3 linked regions of the Caenorhabditis elegans genome follow. The protein of the gene in region 2 interacts with the protein of the main gene of each other region in a pairwise test. Each region holds a gene or a part of one and is shown on either strand. Other genes may lie near its edges.

Region 1 (7,764 bases), on a different chromosome or scaffold from region 2:
CCTAAATCCTTCTGTTTTACCCATTTTCCTTTTTAGACCATCTTTGGGACTATAATATTTGCTTTGAAAACTGGAAAATTATATGAAAAATCCAGTTTTTAAATTTATTTTAGGCTCAGTTTAGGCCAAACTATTTTAGGTCTTTTTTAGGCGTAAAAATTTGAAAATTTTTAGACTCGGTTTAGGTCAAACCATTTCATGGCCAAATTTCGGCTTGAAATCTAAAAAAAATTACGGTAAAATCTTATTTTTTGAAATGTTTGAAAACTCAAAATATTCCAAGAAAAAAAAAACTAGTTTTACAACATTTTTCTGGGTTTTCTTAAAATCCTTGTTGGGCTAAGAAATTTTAAACTAAGAAATTTTGCTGAAATCTTAAAAAAATTGTGTTGTTTGAGGTTTACTGGCCAAATTTTAGACTTTTTTTTTAATGGCGATAATTTCAAAAAAATCAAGTTTTTACAGCGTCACATTTTTTAAACATTTTTTAAGCTTAAACTATGAGATAGCAAAAAATTGTCTACTAACAAAATAATTACCGTAAAATTTCCTACATTTTATTAATAGCCAACTTTTCGATTGCTTCAGGCTCCACAGAGTTATAACGGTTTGAACTCAAGAGGCGCTAGGCTCCTTTTAACTTCAAACCTCTATAACTCTACAAATAAAAAAGCTAGCAAAAAATTGTTAACTATCAAAATAATTATCATAAACTTTCCTACATTTTATTTATTGGAAACTTTTTGATACCGTCATTTTCTGCAGAATTACAGGATTTTGAACTTGACCTCTACGCCTCCCTTGGCCCCCAGTTTTAACTTAAACCCCTATAACTCTGCACACAATGGTGCTAGCAAAACATTTGAACTGACAAAATAATTGCTATAAAACGTCCTACAATATGCTAGTTAACAACTTTTTGATGGCATCAGTCTCCGCAGAGTTACAGCTATTTGAACTTGACCTCTAAGCCTCCCTTGGCCCCCAGTTCCAACCTAAAAGCTCCATAACTCCGCAGAGAGCAGAGCTAGCAAAAAGTTGTCAACTAACAAAATAATCTACGTACAATTTTCTACATATATTCAATTTAAATTTTTCTGCTAGACCAACTTACCAGCAAGATCAACGCCCCTAAAGTTAGGGGCCCCTCCCGGTAGCCGGTCGAGCGTCCCCAGTAAACTCTTCCGGGGGCACCCGAAACAATGTTCACTCATCAATCGTTGTCATCTTTCTGGAGACATGTGTCTTATCTGTGTGTGTGTACTACTACTCTTCCCAATACACCCCATTACTCTCCGTCACTATCTCTGCGTCTCTCACCCCCGCCACTCTCTCGCTCTCGCCCATTCATTGAGTAAGCGAGGGGCCTCATTCCTTGATTATCAGCCACTGATAGGAACAATAAGACACCCATAGTTGTTCCATTTTTGCAATTAGAGAGGGAATAGTGACGCTTATAATATATTGTATATCCTATATCTTATCACAGTTTTTTTTTTTTTTTTTTGTGTATAGTTTTGGCCTATTTTATAGGTTTTGAGGGGGTCAAACTGCTAAGTTTAAATAAAATTTGTTTAATTTTCAGTAAAAGCGTCATTAGAAAAGTTTTGAACAAAAAATTGAAAAAAAAAATTTTGGCAAAAAAATTATTTTTTTAAAATTTTTTCAAAAAAAAATTTCCCTCGATTTTTCAAGTTTTTCTCTACTTTTTTTTTTGAATATTCTCTTATTTCAACATAATCATAAAATTCACCTCCTTTTCAGGTGCATGGAGACCCATCTCGGTTGGGCGCGAAGCCTGGAGGCCGTTCTATCCGATCGATCGGCACTCGACGCGTTTCAGGAATGGCTTATTGAGTACTCCTCGCCTCAGGTAACTTTTTTTTTGGGATTTTTCTGCGAAATTTGGATTTAGCTTGCCGAGAGCTTCAAAATAAGTATAATCATGACATTTTTACGATGATTTTGAAAATTTTTAGGTTTTGGCGCAAAATTTTTAGATTTTCTTTTGCTGCGGGACCCAAAGTTCCAATATTTGAAATTTTTACTTGTTTTCGGATGTAGCTTGTCAAGAGCTTCAAGATGAGTATAATTATGCCTAGGTTACTTCAAACTTGAAAGAATCTGGGTCTCACCGCGAAGGTTATTACTGTAGTCCCAAATTTTCGTGGCGAGACCCTAATTTTTCAACCTTTGCGGAACCTGGACATCATTATACTTATCTAAAAGCTGACAGCGAGCTGACTTCGAATTTTATAGTTTTGCAGGCGAAATCATAATTTTGTGAGAATTTTGACCAGTTACAAGGAAAGTCTGCGATTTCACGTTTTTTCGAAAATTTTTTGCGAAAATTTCAACTTTTTTTAATTTTCGAGATAAATTTCTCATAATTTAATCAATCTTTTCATGCGCTTTTGGAAAAGCATAATCATGACCACGTTTCGCAAAACGTTGGGTCCCACCACGCAACCCATGGGGTTCTGTAGTTGTTTGTCGTTGTGGGACCCCATAAAAATTAAATTTATTGAAATTCATACACAGCATCCTGAGAGCTTTGAAATAAGTATAATAGTCTAGGTTCCGTCAAAAAAAAGTTGGGTCTCACCACGAAATCTACTACTGTGGCCCCACATTTTCGTGGCGAGACCCAATTTTTTCAAACTTGACGGAACTCATGCATGATTATACTTATTTCAAAGCTCTCAGCAAGCTAAATTCAAATATTGACTTTAAATTTCCGAATTCTCTAAAAAAATAAGAAATTTTCAGTACCTCGACTTGTTCTTCGCAATCCGAGCATACGAACGAATGGCGTTGGAGGGAAAACCGGAGGTATTGATTTTTTTGCAACTTTTTTGGCAAATCGGGCAATATTTATCTATTTTTTTTAGAAATCCCAACTTTCCAAGTCAATATACTCGAAATTTTTGTCCTCTCGGACCGGAAACTGCGAAGCAATTCCCAAGCATTTTAGGGCTCCGGTAAGCTTTTCTTAAAATTTTTTAAAATCAAAAATTAATTTTTGGATTGGTGAAAAACTACGTCATGGCACCGAATTAGAGGATCGGGTATTCAGTCATTGTTCGAATTTTGTTCAAGAATTTTTAAGACGCCAACACGAGGAGTTTGTGGGCTCCGAAGAGTTTATTGAGGCTTTTAATAAGGTAAATTGTTTTTTTTTTTAATTGTGAAAATTTGAATTTAGCTCACTGAGAGCTTTAAAATAAGTATAATCATGCCTAAGTTCCGTCAAATTTGATAGAAGTTGGGTCTCACCACGAAAACCTACAGTAACCCAGGATTTTCTTGGCGAGACCGAGGTTGTTTGGAAAATTTACAGAATTTGCGAAACCTATGCATTCTTAATGTAATATCGGCGGTCTCAGTTCAGATTTTCAGAATTTTGGCGAAAATTTTAGGGTTTTCCAACAATTGGGTCCTACGACGAAATTTTTCCGGTGCCTAACTTTTTGAATTTTGATTCTTTGCAATTTTTATTTACAAAATTAAACTCAATTGACTGAAAGCTTCAAAATAAGTATAATCATGCTTAGGTTCCGTTAAGTTTGAGAAAAGTTGGGTCTCGCCACGAAATGTATTACTGTAGCCCCAAATTTTCGTGGCGGGACCCAACTTTTGTCAAATTCAACCAAACCTAGGCATGATTATACTTATTTGAAAGCTCTTTCTAAGCTAAATTGAATTTTTATAGTCACAGTGTGAAAAATTTGAAAACCGAGAAGTTGGGTCCCACCACGAAAGGGTTACTGTAGGTTTTCGTGGCGAGACCCAATTCTAATAGAACCCAGACATGATTATACTTATTCGAAAGCTATTTTTAAGCTGAATTTGAATTTTAGCATTTTACGTATCTTATCGCAATTCTGAAAAAAATTTCCAATCCCAAAAACTAAAAACCCCAATTCCAGATGTCATCTACCACCGCCGACCAGCTCCCGGGAGGCTCCGCCCACCATTCATCACACCAAAACACCATGAGAAGGTCGTCAGGCACTACCTCCCGTAAAAGTGCCGCACAAATCGCCACCCAGCTCACAGCTGAGGCCCTCCTAAAATCGAAACACGACAGGCACAGCAAACTTGGAGAAACGTAAGTCGCCTACCTACCCTACCTATTTAAATTTGAATTTTTTTTAGAAAACTTGAGAAAATGTACCCACCGACACGTCAACCATACGTATGCAACGCCACTACCTCACACAACGACTCGGCTGTCAGCTCGACGTTTTCTGGGGACACGCCCGAAGCCCATAGGATGCATAGTAATAGGTAGGTGATTTTGGTTAATGTATTTGAATTAAGCTTGTTGAGAGCTTTTAAATAAGTATAATTATGCCTAGGTTCCGATAAAATTGGGTCCCGGCACGAAAATCTACACTAACCTTTTCGTCGTGAGACCCTACTTGGCAGTTTTCAGATTTTTTACTTTTAAATTGTGATAGCTGAGCTCAACTTACCAAGAGTTTCAAAACAAGCATAAACATGCCCAGGTTCCGTTAAAATTGGGTCCCGCCACGAAAACCCCGAGTTACTGTTGGTAGGTTTTCGTGGCGAGACCCAAATTTTTTCAAACTTAACTGAACCTAGGCATTATTATACTTGTTAGAAAGCTCGTTACAAGCTGAACTTTAATTTCAAATTTTTAGGGTTCAATAAATTATTTCTGAAAAAAATCGCGACGAGACCCAAATTAAGCTTATTTTTTTGAAAATTGTATTTTTTTGAAAACCTTAAATTTTAGTGTTGAGAGCTATTACTACAAAAAAACCAAAAGTTTTCGCGGTAAGACCCTAAAATTTTGAAAATTTTCAGGCCATGGCATGATTATACTTATTTTGAAGCTCTCAGTGAGCTTATATCAAATTTTTATCTAAAAGTGTCTAATTTCCAGACTCCGCCATATCCGAGACGAACAAGCCCGCGAGAATCACGGTACCATGACACTGCCACGTGTCGAAAAAGCCAGCGTCGATGGTCAGCAATGGGATCATTCTTCTGAATCAGGAAGAAGAAATTTTGCAATGGAAATCACCAGAAAACTGCTTAGGCATATTGATAAGGTTAAGCTAAATGATGAGATGGAGAAGAGGATTGACGATATCGAAGAGTGTCGGTATACGGTAGGTTTTTCAGTTTCGAGTTTTAGGCTTTGAATTTGTAAAATTTGAAATCAGCACGCCGAGAGCTTCAAAATATGTATAATCATGACTAGGTTTCGCCAAGTTTGAAAAATTTTGGGTCCCACCACGAAAATGTGGGGTTACAGTAATACCTTTCGTGGTGGGACCCACATTTTTTAAAACTTGACGGAACCTAGGCATGATTATACTTATTTTGAAGCTCTCAACAAGCTGAGTTTGAATTTGTAATTTTTAAAGTGAAATTCAAAGAATTTTAGGGTCCCACCACGAAATCGTACTTCGCGGCAGGACCCAACTTTCTTCAATTTTGCAATTTTGCTTGGAAACTTATAAATTGGAGCTAACTTTGCTCATAGCTTCAAAATAAGTATAAACATGTCTAGGATCCGTTTTATTTAAATATTCCTGGTTTAAGCGTACAGTAACCCTAGATTTTCGTGGCGAGACCCACTATTTTTCAAATTCAACTAAACTTGAGCATGATTATACTTATTTTGAAGCTCTTTACAAGCTGAGCATGTTTTTTTAGTTATCTAGTCACCACTGCAAAATTTGGATTTTTTGGGTCCCACCACGACTACAGTAACCCTGGATTTTCGTGGCGAGACCCATTATTTTTTGAATTCAACTGAAATAGGGCATGTTTATACTTATTTTAAAGCTCTTATCAAGCTGACTTCAATTTTCAAATTAATTTTTCAGACAATCGACATGGTAAACGGCACGGAGCCCAACGACGATCTGGGGAAAATCGATGAGGACGAGGAGTTGGATGATTATCTGAAAATGAAAATGACAGATGATTCCCAAAAAGGATCAACAAATCGATCACCTAAAGGCCCAGCAGGAGAGCCCAACAAATCTGGAGAAGGATCGAAAAATAGTGAGTTCCCATGCTCCGGTACCATATGTCGGGTTATTCTCATGAAGGGATTAATATTACTAATAGGTGTTAGAATTGGAATAGCTGTTAGTAAACATCTTAATGACAAAAATATTTGTCAGGGAACGTTTTTTTTTAGTTCGAATCTATGAAAATTAAAAATAAAAAAATTTTTGAAATTTTTTTTGAGCAAAAACTTTTTTCTCCAAAATTAATAAATTTAATTATTGAAATTATTAAAATCACGTCTGCCTCATTGAGAGCTTCAAAATAAGTACCAACATGCCTAGGTTTTCTTGATTTTGGGTTCCGCCACGAAAATGGGTGTTGTAGCTTTTCGTGGTGAGAACCAACAACTACAAAATGACATTTTTGCTTTAAAACTACAAAATGCAAGCTCAGCTCACCTAGAGCTTCAAAATAGGTATAATCATGGCTAGGTTCGGTGAAATTTGAAAATTGTTGGGTCTCGTCACGAAATGTATTACTGTAGCCCCAAATTTTCGTGCCGAGACCCAAAAATCTTCTAATTTGACGAAACCTAGGCATGTTTATACTCGTTTTAAAGCTCTTGACGAGCTGAAAAAAAAAATTACTAAAACTGTAAAAGTTTTAAATTTTAAATATCTTTCGTGGTAAGACCCAAATTTCTGAAATTTCAAAAAAAAATCCAGTATTTTTATATTTCCAGTCAATTTTCAAACTCAGCTCGTTCAGAGCTTCAAAATAAGTATAATCATGCCTAGGTTTGGTGAAATTTGGAAATTTTTGGGTCTCACCACGAAAGTTATTACTGTAGCCCCAAATTTTCGTGGCGGGACCCAACTTTTTTCAAACTAGACGGAACCTAAGCATGTTTATACGTATTTTGAAGCTCTTCATGAGCTGAATTCAAATTTCCAATTTATAATATTTTCCAGCCACCCTCTCCCCAACCAATCGTGCTCCCGCTCAGCTCCACAACACAATTCGGGTCCCGAGACGAAAAGATTACCCCCGGGACACCTCGGCTTCTCTAAAATCTCATCGTCACCATCAAATCGACACAAATCGAATGATGAGCCAATCAATGTGCGCTCCATCGTACTCCTCAGCCAGCTCCTCCTACAGTAGGGACTCCTTCGCGCCGGCGCCCACTACCAGGGTGAATTTTGCTCCGGGGAGCAGCAAATCGAGTCAATTCTATGATTCTTCGGGAATTGGGTCTATGGCACCGTCGGCGTTCTCCGCCACTTCGTCACTGGATTATAAGGATCGGAGGCAGCACAGAAAGGCTCCAACGCCTAAGAAGCACTCGAAAATTGGGAAAAATTTGTCGAATTTGATAACTATTAGCTATTTAGGTAAGGTTTCATTTTTTTATACAAAAAAAAGTGAAAAAAAAAATTTTACAAATTTTTTTTTGAAAATTTTTTTGAACTTTTTTTTCAGATTTTCTATGTTTCTAGGGTAGATTTTACCCTAAATTTTATATTTTCTAACATTTTAACTCAAATTTTTTTCCAGGAACCGATAAAATCCCTGTGGTAACACATGTCCCTAACGATGGACCAATGACGTTGGCGGAGTTCAAGAGGCACTTTGCTCTGCCAAATGGAGCACATCAGTGAGTTTTTTTTTGGGTTTAAACTGGGAAAATATTGATTTTAGGTTGATTTGGAAGTTTTTGGAAAATTTTGAAAAAAAAAATTTTTGCTCAAAAATATTTTTTTTTGGAAA
Region 2 (6,401 bases):
GGTGAATTCATTTGAAACTTTTCTGGTTTTTAAAGTAGATGTACTCCAAAGTATTCAAATGTTTCTTTTTTGTTTCTGTATAGTTCAACACATTATTATCCGGCCTAAGCTCCAAAAAGTTCGAATGTTATGTTCACAATTTTAATTCACTTTAAAATGAGTATCATCATTTGCTTTGAATTTTAAGGAACTTTTGAAAGTGATAGTATCTATCAATCTAGGCTTTCTCTGTACACTTTGAAAATTAAAATTTCCTGAAATTCGTTTTATACACTAGGTAATCATATTTGTAAAACTTGACACTTGTAATAGCGTTCCTCTTAACTGATATGTCGAAATTTCTAGAATTTCCTATAATATTATTTGTATTTTTGATTTAAATATCAATGAACAATATTATTCTGCCAAAAATTATATTAGTTCCTTAGCGAAAAGAAATGAAGCTGAAAAACAAAAAAAACGATTGATAGGGAATGTTTATCGAGTCGCGTTGGATAAAAATGTTAAGTCGAACAATAAATACAAAATGAGTGGATCGGAGATTAAATTGAAACCATTGAATCAGAAAACACAAATAATAATACTAATAATAATAAATTGTTTTTTAATACAACACTTTATCAGCAAACACTGGAGCTTGTTCGACTTTTTGTCCCTTGTTGTGTCGGAGGATGGCAACTAGTGGGTGGACAGTTTCTTGCAAATCCTGAAGTGAAAGATTTAATAAGGTAGTTTCAGAAGCATAGATAATAAGCTGACCTATCAAAACCGCAAAAATTAATATCATCTCTCACATTCGAACATTATTAATACAATTTTGAAAAGTGAGTTAATATGAGTTAAAAACTTGATATGAAAAAAGCTTAGAACTAAACCGAAAACAAAAATATATAAATATGTTTAAAAAAATTATTTAAATGTTCATAAGCACATTTGAAAAATTTTATGTCATAATTACTATAAAAACCGGAATAGTTTTCATGGAAAGTTTTCTATTTTGAATATTTGAAAGCCTTCCCATACATATGAAATAAATTAAAATTATGCTGAAGTTGGAGTTCAAAATATGTTAAAGTTTCATCAGATACAGTTTTTTCTGCATACGTTTTTCAATATAAGTTTGAATTGAATTTGATCCCGGACGGGTTGAAAAATAATCTTGAGACGCCTCAATTTATACTTATGTTCTTTGCTTTCATGTGATGATTTTTGAAAGATGATTTTTGAAAGCCAAAATTACTTTTCAAATAAAGTGTACTATTTTCAGTTATTTTCAACTAAACCGAGTTAAATACGCAGACTGAGACACCTAGTATTTTCAGTTTTAAATTTCACTTCCCCAACCCATAATATTTACTCTGAAAAGATTCTCCAACGAAGCTGTTCCGTGTGTCCAGTAGAGATTATGTTGAAGTTTGGAAATTCCTGTTGGGAGTGGTGCGAATCCCGAGTTGTTAACTTTGTAGTATTCAAGGAAAGAAATGTTGGCCTGTGTGAGACTTTTGATGGCAATTGGCTGTGGGAGAACTTCAGAGTTGGTGATAATCGGCAGAACGTTTGTTTTCAAATCGTCTCCGAACATTCTCTTAACATCAGCCAACTCATAAATGAACGGCCATCCCAGTTGATTCTCGTCGTGTCTCAAAACAATTGAGATTGCATCAAGACGGAAGGATCCAGATTTGAGAAGCTCCTAAAACGTGAAATTTAGAATTTTTTGCAAAGTTTCAATAGTTCACCTTCTCAAACCACTGCTTGATAAGTCGCGAGACCGTCTTGTTGCCCATTTTGTCCTCAACCCCGGGTGTGTCAACAACAGTGACGTTATAAGGAAGAACAGTGTTGTTGAAAACGTAGGCGGTGAGTCCAGTGGTTGCGTTCACATGCTCGTCCAAAACAAATCTGAAAAAAGAAGAATAATGAACATTATAACATTGAAAATTAAAAAATTAAGTTACCGGAAATCATTCTCCTTCTTAACATCATACAAATAGTTCATCATGCTGGTAATAGCAGAAGTCTTTCCAGAATTAACTGGACCGAACAGGAGCAGAGTCTTGTCATCGTCACTTGGTGGAGCATCTCCTCCAATGATAACCTTGTTGATCTTGTCATTCTTGGAGAAGTTTTCAACAACATAGTATTGTGGAACAACGAGCTCGTATTTTCCGCTGCTTGCAATCTAATAATTTTTAAGAATATTAAAATAATTTTCATATGAAAAATAAATGACTTACATGTTCTCCTGCTGCCTTTTGTTTAGCAGCTAGTGGGCTGACACGAGCTTCCTCCTCTTCGTAGATGCTTGAGTCCACGCTCTCTTAAATATTCGATATACGCAATAGAAAATTTAAATAATATGTTTTACATAGAAGTTCGCACAGAAAACGTTGATTGTACTCAGAAAATTGAACAAACAGAAAATTGAAAACTGCCACACATTTTTGCAGGTGCATGGTTTTTTTTCTTTTAAATAATTTATACACTTTTGTAGAGTGTGTGCAGTACACCTGGCCCGAAAGTTTTAACCATTTTAAAAATGTTCGTGATTTTTTTAAATCTACATTAGGCATGGGATTAGTGTTTCCTGAGCTTAAAAATGCAAATGTAGTTCAAGTTTTGATTATATTATCATTTTTGAAAGAAACGACTGAAAGCGTATTGGATAATAGTTTTGGGTATGGTATACTACACAAGTTCCTCTAGAGCATTGTGATCTTTTCGGAAGTGTTTTGGAAAGCCTCAAACTTTTGTAAAGCTTCTAACATTTTTGAAAGATTTGAAACAATTTTACACTTTCAAAAAAAAAAAAACTATCACGGTTATGTCAGCAAACCGCAACCTCTTCAAAAGCTCTATATCAAATTTTACGAAAACTACAGTAATCCTACCGTACTCCTGCAGTACTCCTACGGTACACTCACTTCGACCTCAGAAAAATGAAGCCTGATTATCTTGTTATTTTGGCAAGTTTGAGTGTTTGTTAAGACCGTGTTTATAAGTCTAATTAAATTCTCTAAAACTTACTTGAAGAATGGCTGGATTTCGGCTGTGGCGGCAAATGATGATGATCGTGCTCATGGCTGTACGAGCGAACGTGGTAGCCTTGTGGCTTCGCACCTTGTCCAATTTTGTTGACCTTCAATGAAGCTTCACGAGCCAAATTAGCATGAGTCATGCGGTCATTGTCAGCGCGTTGACGGTCAACTTGATGAGAGAGCTGAGCTTTTTTCGCGTGAGCATCTTCAACTTGGCGTTGAAGATTTCTCAGCTTCTGGGTTCCACCAGTGTGGAACGAAGCTTGGGTATGGGAAGAGTACACACTTCCTGGTGACTGTAAAAAGACTTTATTAATGATAATGAAGATTTTTTTGATAATTTTCTCACGCTGAGCTCAGAACGTGGGCGTTCATATGCCACTTCGTCATGATGAAGGTTGATTTCTTCACCATGGTAACGGTCATGCTCATCGTGAACATCGAATTGTCCGAAACGGCTTTCAGCAAACGATGCGGAGCTATCGATGGTGTTGGAACGATCACGGTGTGGTTGTGCTAAAATAACTTTTTTAAACATACATTGATTATATGCAACTTTTTTTAAAACTAACTAGTACTATTTCGGATACACTTACGACCCGCTTGAGTATAAAAATAGTCAAACATTTTTGAGCAGACAAGAGTATGACTAGTTATGTTCAATGTGCATAACAAAAGCCTACACCACTGTTCACTCCTCAATAACTGACTCATAGCAGAAATATGACCGTTGCAACTTATTTACATGCTTCTACAATTTTTTTTATTTCCGTCTTGAAAAGTGACACTCACCCGTTCTGATTGGATATTGATGATTCAGATTGAAGTGGTCACTTCTCTCGTCTTCATAATCCGGCTGCGGCTCAGATCCGTAGGCGTCGTAGTGCTGAAAATTACGAACTTACTTTGAATTCAAAACAATCTATTTTCAACACAATGCAAATAACTTGCATAGCTTTGAGAATTGATATTCAAATCGTTGAAAACATTGTTCACGACGAGACTTCCAGTTCGTGCAGCGGCATGCCTCTAAAACGGACCAACTTACCCGAATAGTTCCTAAAAATTGAAATTTACCTTGGCAGATCCGTTTGACACTACGCTTGCGTTTTGTGGGTGATGTTCGCTTGCATACTGATTTCTGTGCGAGCTAACATGAGATGTAACATGTGACGAGCTCACATGGCTTGGAGCTTGAAATGGTGGCTCACTGACGATGGACTCGTGATCCTCACCATACAAAGCTTCGTCGAGATGACGGAGAGCATCGTCATGTCCTCCGTGCAAGTTGACAGTTGGCAGTGTCACAGCGGAAAAGACCTTTAAAACGTTGTTGTGAAAAGTGGTTCAGTTAAAAATATAGTTACCGAGTTCATCAAATCGTCATTCACTGGAGTTGCATCGTAGTAATGCGAAATTGGGGTGACATTGACTGGTGGTGGTGGAGGTGCAGATACTGCATGTGGTGGATGGGACACCACAGTTGATGTCGCATGTGATCGGATTCCGTTTCCAATCTGGAAAAGTTTACAAGTATTATGAGCTCTATACCATAATGAACTCTTACCGGAACCTCTCTCACAGTGGATACACTCGAAGCAGTTGTCTTGCGGCTTCTATTTCCAGACTGAAATTATTTTCAAAATTTATTGGAAATACAAAAATTCTGCGAAATTTTTGGTTACCTCGGAAGATTTCACGTTGGTGGCAGATGTCAACGCTGGAAGGTTGCCAAAGACGTCATCCAAGTTGATGCTGACAGCCGTGCTTCGCGACATGTCTGTACAAAAGACACAATAATAGGAGTTGTTAAATTGTGGGAATGGAAAAATCGAGAACGATAAACAGTGAGAATTAAGAAAAATAGCAAAACAAACTTATGCTACATATAAAATATGATTATTTCTGCAAACTTTGCTCAACTATCATCAAAGACAAACCATTCCTATTGTACTCCCCGTGAAATTATATTTGAAACAGAAAAACCTGGCTGAAAACGGAGATGATTGACCGTGACGAAAGATCGGTAAAAGGCAAATTGCACGGTGTAATGGAGTGCAAAGACAGAAATGGCAGAGCACTGCTTAAAAGTTTCCTGTCAAACCGTGTCGCTTATCAATGCGTGCCACGCATTACACCTTCTCGCGTCAGGCGCCAAAAACGTATTGTATATGCAGCTAACAACCGTAACAATGGAACGAGAGTATTGACGAGTTAAATCAAAATAAAAAATCGGTGGAGAGCGCTGAACTGAACTGAGAGTGAGAGGGGATAAAAACAAAGTTCGCGTGTTGTTTGCCGAGACTAGCAGATGGTTGGGTTTTATTTCTACAAAAATGAGTAGATGCCATCATAATTTTGGAACGGGTCAAATTTTACAATACATCCCAATTGAAGGACATAATAGTTTACAGTTTAATTTGACTAGAAAATGGAACGAAAGTTCTTAAGATACAATCTTTTAGTGAAAAAAAAATCAGTTTCCAAGGCATTCCTCGATTTGAATCCAAAATAGATTTAAGAAAACTTTTTTGTTTTACCTGAAAGTTCAAAAGTTCAAAAAAAAAGAAAAGAAAACATAGCTTCATTATTCTTTCAAAAATTGAAAATGTAAAGAGTGGAATTTCTTCTTTGTGATAAGTTTCTTTCCAGTTATAGAACCCTGAAAAAACATGATAAACCACACGCATATCAATTCTCTGCCAGTTAAGTTTCAGGACTGTTTGCTCGCATGTAAAGGACTGAACACATTATTGCTTTTATTGAGAACAACATTGCATAAGATTGAATACTTTTGAAAAGAGGGGAAAAAAGAGATGCTGAACAAAAAAACGTGAACTGAAATTGGAAGAAAAAGGTGAAACCCATCAAATACATGTCTAGCGGAGGAAGGTTGGAAAAAAATACAAGCGAAAACAATTGAAAAATGAATAAGATTCTCCCGAGTTGATACCTTGCATTTGCGCATTTTTTTTTGATAGAAAATGTGTTTAATAATCTAGCATGAGAACACAATTATTTAAAAAAAAAAAACTCAACAAAAAAAATTAAGACCATGGTTCTTAATTTTTAGGTACCCAATGAGTAAGCACTTTGTTTCAAAAAAACGCAGGATTTTTTTTAGTTTTGAGTTCAATTAAAATAAATTATAATTTCAAAACAAAACGGTTCCATAGGAAAAAAGTTATTTTCACAATTGCTTTCGTTGGTCATAATTTTATTAGAAAATAAATTCAGTTTCAAATTTTTCAAAGGAATACTAACAAGCCGTGGTGATGACGAATAATGTAAAAATGACCTGAAATGAAAAAATGTGCTGAACAAAAACAAATTCAAAAATTTTCATGGCTTTTTATTTTATTT
Region 3 (7,962 bases), on a different chromosome or scaffold from region 2:
CCTTTTTGTTCTGAAAATTTAAAAATTTGGAATCGGGCCGGCAGGTTTTTCGGTTTTTCGATATTTCGGTTTCGCTCAAAAAATCTAAAAAATTTAGGGTCAAACTTGTTCAAAAATAAGTAAAATTTATGTTGCTTGTTTCCGTAAAGGAAATACCGAGTTTGGAATGTTTTCAGAAATGTTTTCGGTTTGTCTGCAAACAGAAAACACCGAAAAAACTCAATTTCTGTACTTCAAACAATTTTAATATCATAAAATTATTTTTAAGCAAAATTTGTTTTTAATGGCTTTTTAATGATTTTTAATGATTTTTTTTATTTTAAAATAATCCGGAACTCGATATTTTTTAAAGATTTTTGCGTTCTTCTGTTTTTTTCCAAATTTAATTTTTAAAAAATTGTATTTTGATCGCAGTCCGGAAATATTTTTTAAAACTTGAATTTATGAAAAAAATGCAGGTTCTAGAAAATTACTGTAAATTTTGAATGCTAAATTCTCTAAAACCATCCATTAAAACGAGTTTTTTTAAAATACGAACCTCCATATGCAGAACGTCGTAGTCAGTGACAGCGTTCTGATCTTTAACACTGTCAAGCTCGCGAGTCAACATATCCAGCTTATTCTTGATCTGAATGTTCTTCTCGGCTGCTGTGACACGCTCCAACTCGTGTTGTGGCACATTCTGATCAGCGTCATTTGTGAGTTCTGGAAGATAAAATTTGAAGATGATATTTTTTCTCATAATCTCTCCCAATTATTTTAAATAAATAAAAAAGGCATACCAGTTGCTCCATTATCTTCATCATCAGTGGCAGTCTCATCGTGAGCGTGTCCATTGGAAACGTGATGACTGTTTGAGTAGTGTTGAGTGTGTTGTTGCGAGTGAATCTGAATTTAAGAAAAAATAATTTTGAAATAAAATAAATCCAGAGTTACAATCAGGGATTCCGTTTTTTTTGGTTTTTTCGGACAAGAAAACATTTAAAAAAATGTTTATCAAAAATTTTATGTTTTAGTTGGTATGACGAAAAATGAACATTTTTGTTTTTTTTTGTTGGTTTTTTGGAGAAATTTTAAACAAAATTTGTTTGTTTTTTGGCCGAAATTTTTGTTGCAACATCACTGCGTACAATTAAAAAATCTCGCTTTTAAAGATCGGATTTTTTATTCTTTCACAATTTTTTTTAGTTTTTTCTTTTTGTATCTCTTTTATTGTTGCAAATTTTTTTTTTAAATTAAGCTTTTTTGTTACAGTAATCAACTAATTTCAGGAATTACTGCATACTTTTTTTCATTTTAAAATTTTAAAACAGTAATTTCAGACTGAAAATTACTGCTCGATAATTGTTAATACGGTATTTAAAATAATTTTTTTAAAGAGAATTTTTTGTTTCTATTTTAGTTTCAAAAATAAAAAATACCTGTGTCTGAAGTTGTCTTGTAACAGTAGTCTGTCTCTCGACTTCTTCTCTCATCGAAAAAACTTCACGTTCACGAGCATCAACTTGGTCTCTCAAATGACGTCTCTCACCATCACTCATTGCTTTTTCGGATTGAAGTTGAGCAGTGAGCTCACGAAGTTCGTATTCCTTCTGTTCCAATGCTTGTTTAGCCAATTGCAATTGCTTGAGTTGAGCCTCCAATGAGTGAATTGTATTGTGTGCTTCAGCCAATTCAAGACGAGCTCTCTCCATATCTTCCTGCATTTGAGCCATACGCTTTTCGGCGTCACGTTGACGCTGTTCGGCTTCTTCGCGAGCAGACATCTCCTGTACGATCAAAACAGATTTGAGTGAAAGTTTTTTTAGAAATTATTTGTAAAAACATGTTTCAAAAATTTCCGCAACTTACTCTGGTGAGCTTCTCCTGCTCGGCAATCTTAAGAGCACGATCCTCTCTGGCTTGTTGCTTCATTTGTTGAACTTCAATGGTATCTGGCTTTCTTCTACGCATGTAAAGCTCGTGATTTCCCATACACAAAGCAAGAATACGTTTGTTGATACGGAGTCGTGGAGCGTAGAAGACAAAGTCCTGAAAATTAATGATAAAAATGAAGACGAATAATGAAAAACATTTTTTCGATTTTTTTTTCAGCGAAAATAAGAATTTTTTTTCGATTTTTCTAAAATCAAAAAATCGGGGAAAAAATGTTCAGAAAAATTACAACAAACTCAATTTCCACAAAATGTTCCATCCATCTCGAAATTTGCGATTTTTGATACAAAAACACATTACTCGATATCGAGGCGATCGAATAAATTTAAATGAAAAAGGATGTGCGCATTTAAAAAGTACAGTAGTTACCGTTGAGCTGATTTGAAATTTTCATAGATTTTTTCTAAATATTTTTATTGTAAAAACCTTTTATTTTACTTTTGTTAGTGAAACTAATTTTTATTAATTAATAAACTAGAAAAATCTAACGAAGTTGGAAATCAGAAAGGCCTGGAGCTACTCTACTTTTTAAAGGTGCACACCATTTTGGTAAATAAATTTATTCGGTCGTGTCGAGACCGAGACCGGGCACCATACTTTTGCCTCAAAATCGCAACATTCCGCATCTGGTCAATGATTGTGATATTTTCACACCCCAAAAATAAGAAAAACCAACAAAAAAATTTTAAATCAAAATTCAATGTTCCATCGATTGCTTCTTATCACCACCACTTCCAACTACTATCACACAATTTTTCCGTTTTTTCCGCAGAAATTTTGCCAACAAATAGAAGCTTGATGCCACGACAAACTGTGTGTGACAGTAATCACTTACATGAGCCTTCTTATCAATTGGTTTGATGACAAATTTCTTGTCGTTGAATGATATATTACGAATCTCCGACCATGGGAATCCGACTTTCGGCGAAAGACGATCAGCTTTATCGTAAATATTCAATCCAAGAGCATCGACACCAAGATAGAGATCAGTTCCCTTTTTGTTGCGGATTTCAAAGTACTGAAATTAGCTTTTTTTAAAACTCGACAGAAAAATGAGAAACAGTACATTGACTCCATACATCTCGAGATCTTGTGCAATTTTCAAATATTCAAGCATAGCTTGTTCACGTGTAGTTGCACGATGATCTGCCCACCATGTCATAATACGGCGTTCCCATTCCTCACTGTTCAATTTGAATTGTCCGAGAACGCGTTGAGGAAGCAGACTGGAATGAAATAATTAATTATTTTTGGCATTTAATATAAAAAGTTTACTTTTTTTTAACTACTTCTTATTATATACTTTTTTATTGATCATCTAGATCTGGAACTTTCCCTTCTTTATTCTAATCTCATTTTCATGTGATAATTATGAATTGTATGAGTACTGTGATACTGTGAAATTTCACTACATAATTAAAAATGAATTATCGCAGAAAATTATTATTTTTCTTATTTTAGTAATCTTGATTGGAATTTTGAACCGCAAAGATATTTTTTAATAGTTATTAATAATTTTTTTAAAAGCTAATTTCAAGAAAAACTCACCGATCAGCAGTAAGACATCCGGCGACATGTGTCTCTGGAACATAGTCTCCATATTTAGCTTGCATCGCGTAAGAGGCAAGAAGAACAGAGGTTTCCGGTGGACAATAAATCTCATCTGACAGAATTCCATCTTTCACTTGGAGATAGAACAAACGCTGAAAATATTTTCATTTAATTAAGGCTTAATTTCAGTTAAAAAACTTCATAATTTTTTAACTGTATGTTCTGTACATTGAGATTGTTTTCTGACATTTTAAAAAACCATACTCCATTTTCAACTAATGATTCTGAAACCCAATTGTTCCCTCTTCCAAACAAAAAATTCTGCAAATTTTGCAAAAAGTTCAATTTATATTCTCTTCCCCTCATATTTATCGTTTTGAATCATTTTTTGATTATTCACACATGCCATTCTCCTCTTCCTCTTTATGTCAGTTATGAACATGAATATAAAAAGAGCAAAGAGACAGCAACAAACTGAGAGTTTTTTCATTGTTTCCATTGATATGAGTCATCGGAACAGAATTTAAGTCAGTCTATCTATTCAAATTCAAATGCGAAATATTATTGGAAATCTAAAAAAAAGAGAAAAAATCAATTTACTTAACCGGAAGTGATATTTATATTTTTGAATCATTTGAGAAAGTGCTCAAAAAAGGTTTTTTTGTGAATTAGAAACTTTCAGACCATTTTTGTGCATTTTCTCAAATGTTTCAACTGAAAAATGTTATTTTCATAGAAATAAAAGTATTTTTCTATATTTAAAAAAAAAAGAAATTTTTACATTAATTTTAACAACTGATCTAAATTTGCATATAGGTACTAAATCAATTTGCATATAGGTACTAAATAGCTATTCTACTGAAATCTTCAACTGATCTTGTGATCCTATTCAAACAAAACAGACCACCCAGATCAGAGATTTCCTGTTCGCAGTCGGAGGTTCTAATAGGATGCTCATTTCTCCTCTCAAAAAAAGAGTCTCGCACACACAGTGTCTTCCCATCGATGTTTACAAACCATTAAACAATCTCTTTTTGTGTGAGACAAAAAAGTGGCTCGGAGGTAATCGGAAACCACACTCTCAATGGGAGAACCTTTTTTTGAAACGGAAGGGAGAAAATGCCCATGTTTACACTTGTCACCATCAAAATATTTTGTTTTTAGGCAGTTTATTGAGGACCTTGTGAGCACATGAGCCGTGGAAATTTTTGAGCAGAAGAGTTTTTTTTGCTCAAATAAAACTGGTTTAAAAAATTCAAAAATTCTTTATAGCGAGCCAAAATTCTCAAAAAAGAGCCAAATTTTCCTAAATCGGAATGCCATTTTATTGAATTATCACTGGCATAAAAAACTTTATTCTAATTTTAGCAAAAATATCGGATTTTTTTAACAGAAAAAATATCGGATTTTTTTCAGAATTTTCACTGCTTTAATTCATTTTCGGGCATTTTTTGAGAAATTTCATTTTGAAATTTGGTCGTTTTGGGGTCTTTTTAAGCAGGCCAGCTTGTAAGAAGGTACTCTAAAACCACAGAAATGTATTCCTTACCAAAATTTTCCCCTTTTTTTCTATTCTTGAATATACTCCAAAGTTATTTCCTATTGCTTGCCAACATTGCATTACATGCATAAATGGCACGGGCATTCTCTACTTATCAGTTACAAATCAGAAATAGCACAGGAAATCAAGAGAGTCGCCAGAGAATGTCAGAAAAGCGAAAAGTGAGAATTACAACTAAAAATCAAATATTGGCCAGAGGTAATGGAAAATTTACAGTTTTTTTTTTCCAAAAAATTAAATATTTAAAAAAAGGTGTCAAACATACCATAGTGACATCCTGGATAATCTCCTCGGCCACATCTTCCGGATAGAATTTGGCGCGGAATTTGAAAACAAGAGTCGGGTCCTTCTTAACGTCCTGAGACAAGACTTTCTTGTTCAATTTCAGCCATGTTGGGAATCCCTTGTTGTCAGTGTACTGAAGTCCAAAATACCAGATCTCGCGGAGACCAATGGTTTTGACAACCTGCAAAAATTAAAATGAAGGAATTAATATTGCTGGAAAATTCGAAACTCAATTTCAAGAGCTGGAAATTTTGGATTATTTTTTTCAAATTTAAATCGTTTTGATTTAAAATTTCTAATGGTTAGTGAAAATTTAATGTTTCAGAAAATTCTGATTTTTTTTTTGAATTATTAAAATTTATCCATTCTCCAATTTAATAAAAAAAGTACTTTTTAAATATAATAAAACAAAATCATCTAACCTGATCAAAAAGTTGCTTTCCTGTGGTGCTCGACTGAATAGCGAACTCGAGCTCCGAGTCCATCGAGGTGACACGCACATTGATCTGAAACAAGAAATAGTTGGATTAGGCAAAAATAAAATCGATTTTTCGTTATATTTTTTCTTAAATTTCTAAAAAAAATTTTTTCAATTAACAATTTACATCGCCGGCCGCAACCATTTTTCTATTTTGTGTTCCACAAGTTTGAACTGCTGGACCAATTGATATGAAGAGGTTAGCTTAAAATTTTTCAGTAAAATGATATAAGAAATCTTGCATGAAAATCAGAAATTCAAAATAAAAAAAAGAGTGAAACTTGAGAATTTAAAATTCTTATCTAAAACTAAATGATATGAGTTGTCACTCTCTCTCCCTGTATACAGCACAAAAACGGAGTGAGAAGAACTATAGACCGCCCGTTTTTGTACAGGCTCCGCCTATTTGTCGGTTTGCACACATACATGTGCGCATTTCTTCATAGAAGTTTCGGCAGAAAAAAAAAGAATGAAATGATATTTCAAATATCATCAATTTTGAGTTTATTTCGAGTTCAAAATTGTTCGCGGCTCTACTTCGTAAGCGTAAAAATCTGAATTGTTTTCTAAAATTTTTTAAATTAATTTTGTAAAAAATATATGTTTTGTATTTTATTTCCCACTTATATGTTTAAAAAGAGGCGCATTTATGCAAAATGGTATTGAAACCCTCTATTTTCGAAAATTTCAACAAAACCTCAAAAATGAGTCCATTTTGCAGAAATATGCCTCTTTATAGTCTTATAAGTGAAAAATAAAATACAGAGTATATTTTTAGATCGATAGATTCTTATTTTTTAAAAAAATCGGCAGAAGTCGTGCTGAACAGAACATAATTTCCGAAATATTCAACATTTCACAGTTTCAAATTTTTTCCATTTGTTTTTAATTAATGGCGGCATTTTTTCCGAAAGAAATAAGAAAATCGCAAATTTAAACAGTGTTTTTTTTTATTTGGCCGTAAAAGTTTTAAATTATTTGAAGCTACATTTTTCAAACTTACCGCTTTTTTCGACATTATTTTAGCTCTTTTTGATGTCCGAGTCGAAGATGGATTGGGGTGAGCGGTGAGAATTCACGAAACTTTTCCACCGAAAATCTTCGTCACTTTTTTCTGCAAGAAAGTAAAATAAGATGTGAAAATAGAATTCGAATGAACAGAGATTTCAAAAATTCATGAGAAATCAGAAAACGGAGCGAAGAAAACGAAACAAATGAGTTCAAGGTTATGAATTTTAAATTTTGAATAGAGAAATCTAATTTTTCAATCATTTATCCGAAAATTCAAAGTGACACATGGAAAATTGTGTATATTTTAGGGGGATTTATACATTTGGCGATTAAAAAAAATCAATAAAACTCGAAAAACAATAAAAAATGAGTCATCGTCTGATTCAAACCCGTTCGGATCCGTTTTTGGCGCGTTCTGCGATTTGCCACTGCACGAGAATCGCGCCAGCAGGGCGTTGGCGCGATTCTCGGGTGCCTGGACAGTTTCTTGGGAGTTTTGGCGAGTTTGAGTTTTTTTTAATGCTTTAATTATTTTAAAGAAAAAGTTTCATGAATCAAAAAATTATTCAGAAAAATATGTGTCACAGGTGGGAATATTGATTTTGATTTACAGGTACAGGGCTATTATTTCCGGCAATTCTACAAAATTATTGGGCTATGTTGTTCCAACGTTTTTCACTAAAAATTAGTGTCAAAATATCGAAAATCACTCGATTTATCTGGAAATGAAACATATTTTTAGCTGAAACATTTGAAGAAATGCTCAAAATCGGTGGGAAAGTTGCAAATTGTTAGACAAAAAATCTGATAATTCGATAATCGGATACTGGCAATTTTCAGGCCATTTTTAAAAGCTTTCTTAAATGTTTTAGCTAAATTGAAGTTTATTTTCAGACGAATCAAGTAATTTTTCGATATTTTAACACTAATTTTGAAAAATGTTGAGATAACATGACAACAAAAAATTTGATGGAAAAAGCCAATAAAGCACACAAACTGGCTTAAATTTTCAGCTGGATACCGTATTAGAACAGTACGGAAAAAATTCCAAGAAGTTCGAGACAATTCGCTAAATTTTTGATAATTTTGAAAAATTAACTGGAAAAATAAGGAAAGTAAAGATTCAATATAAAAACTTCCG

What was found.
Region 1: the proteins of C18B2.5 (region 2) and pry-1 interact in a two-hybrid assay, tested with the Caenorhabditis elegans proteins (one study listed by BioGRID).
Region 3: the proteins of C18B2.5 (region 2) and erm-1 interact in a two-hybrid assay, tested with the Caenorhabditis elegans proteins (2 studies listed by BioGRID, with this or other methods).

Annotation. Positions count from the first base shown.
Region 1 is NC_003279.8:14,173,361-14,181,124, reverse strand, and holds the start of pry-1 (Axin-like protein pry-1), read left to right. Parts: upstream 1-1,764; 5' UTR 1,765-1,768; coding exon 1,769-1,873; intron 1,874-2,769; coding exon 2,770-2,832; intron 2,833-2,891; coding exon 2,892-2,981; intron 2,982-3,026; coding exon 3,027-3,164; intron 3,165-3,614; exon of another isoform or gene 3,615-3,687; intron 3,688-3,929; coding exon 3,930-4,111; intron 4,112-4,158; coding exon 4,159-4,290; intron 4,291-4,912; coding exon 4,913-5,141; intron 5,142-5,864; coding exon 5,865-6,045; intron 6,046-6,965; coding exon 6,966-7,388; intron 7,389-7,551; coding exon 7,552-7,651; intron 7,652-7,764. UniProt on the Caenorhabditis elegans protein: Works in parallel with axl-1 in negatively regulating bar-1 signaling in vulval precursor cells and Q neuroblasts. Inhibits Wnt signaling, which affects tissue specific expression of Hox genes, egl-5, lin-39 and mab-5.
Region 2 is NC_003284.9:3,606,275-3,612,675, forward strand, and holds C18B2.5 (G domain-containing protein), read right to left. Parts: upstream 4,819-6,401; 5' UTR 4,817-4,818; coding exon 4,724-4,816; intron 4,666-4,723; coding exon 4,606-4,665; intron 4,556-4,605; coding exon 4,406-4,555; intron 4,359-4,405; coding exon 4,116-4,358; intron 4,068-4,115; coding exon 3,990-4,067; intron 3,925-3,989; coding exon 3,831-3,924; intron 3,555-3,830; coding exon 3,388-3,554; intron 3,335-3,387; coding exon 3,028-3,334; intron 2,321-3,027; coding exon 2,238-2,320; intron 2,183-2,237; coding exon 1,959-2,182; intron 1,903-1,958; coding exon 1,740-1,902; intron 1,694-1,739; coding exon 1,358-1,693; intron 707-1,357; coding exon 605-706; downstream 1-604.
Region 3 is NC_003279.8:5,284,681-5,292,642, forward strand, and holds the start of erm-1 (Moesin/ezrin/radixin homolog 1), read right to left. Parts: upstream 6,015-7,962; 5' UTR 5,956-6,014; coding exon 5,938-5,955; intron 5,839-5,937; coding exon 5,755-5,838; intron 5,514-5,754; coding exon 5,313-5,513; intron 3,639-5,312; coding exon 3,484-3,638; intron 3,162-3,483; coding exon 3,002-3,161; intron 2,954-3,001; coding exon 2,771-2,953; intron 2,032-2,770; coding exon 1,852-2,031; intron 1,770-1,851; coding exon 1,422-1,769; intron 889-1,421; coding exon 783-888; intron 706-782; coding exon 539-705; intron 11-538; coding exon 1-10.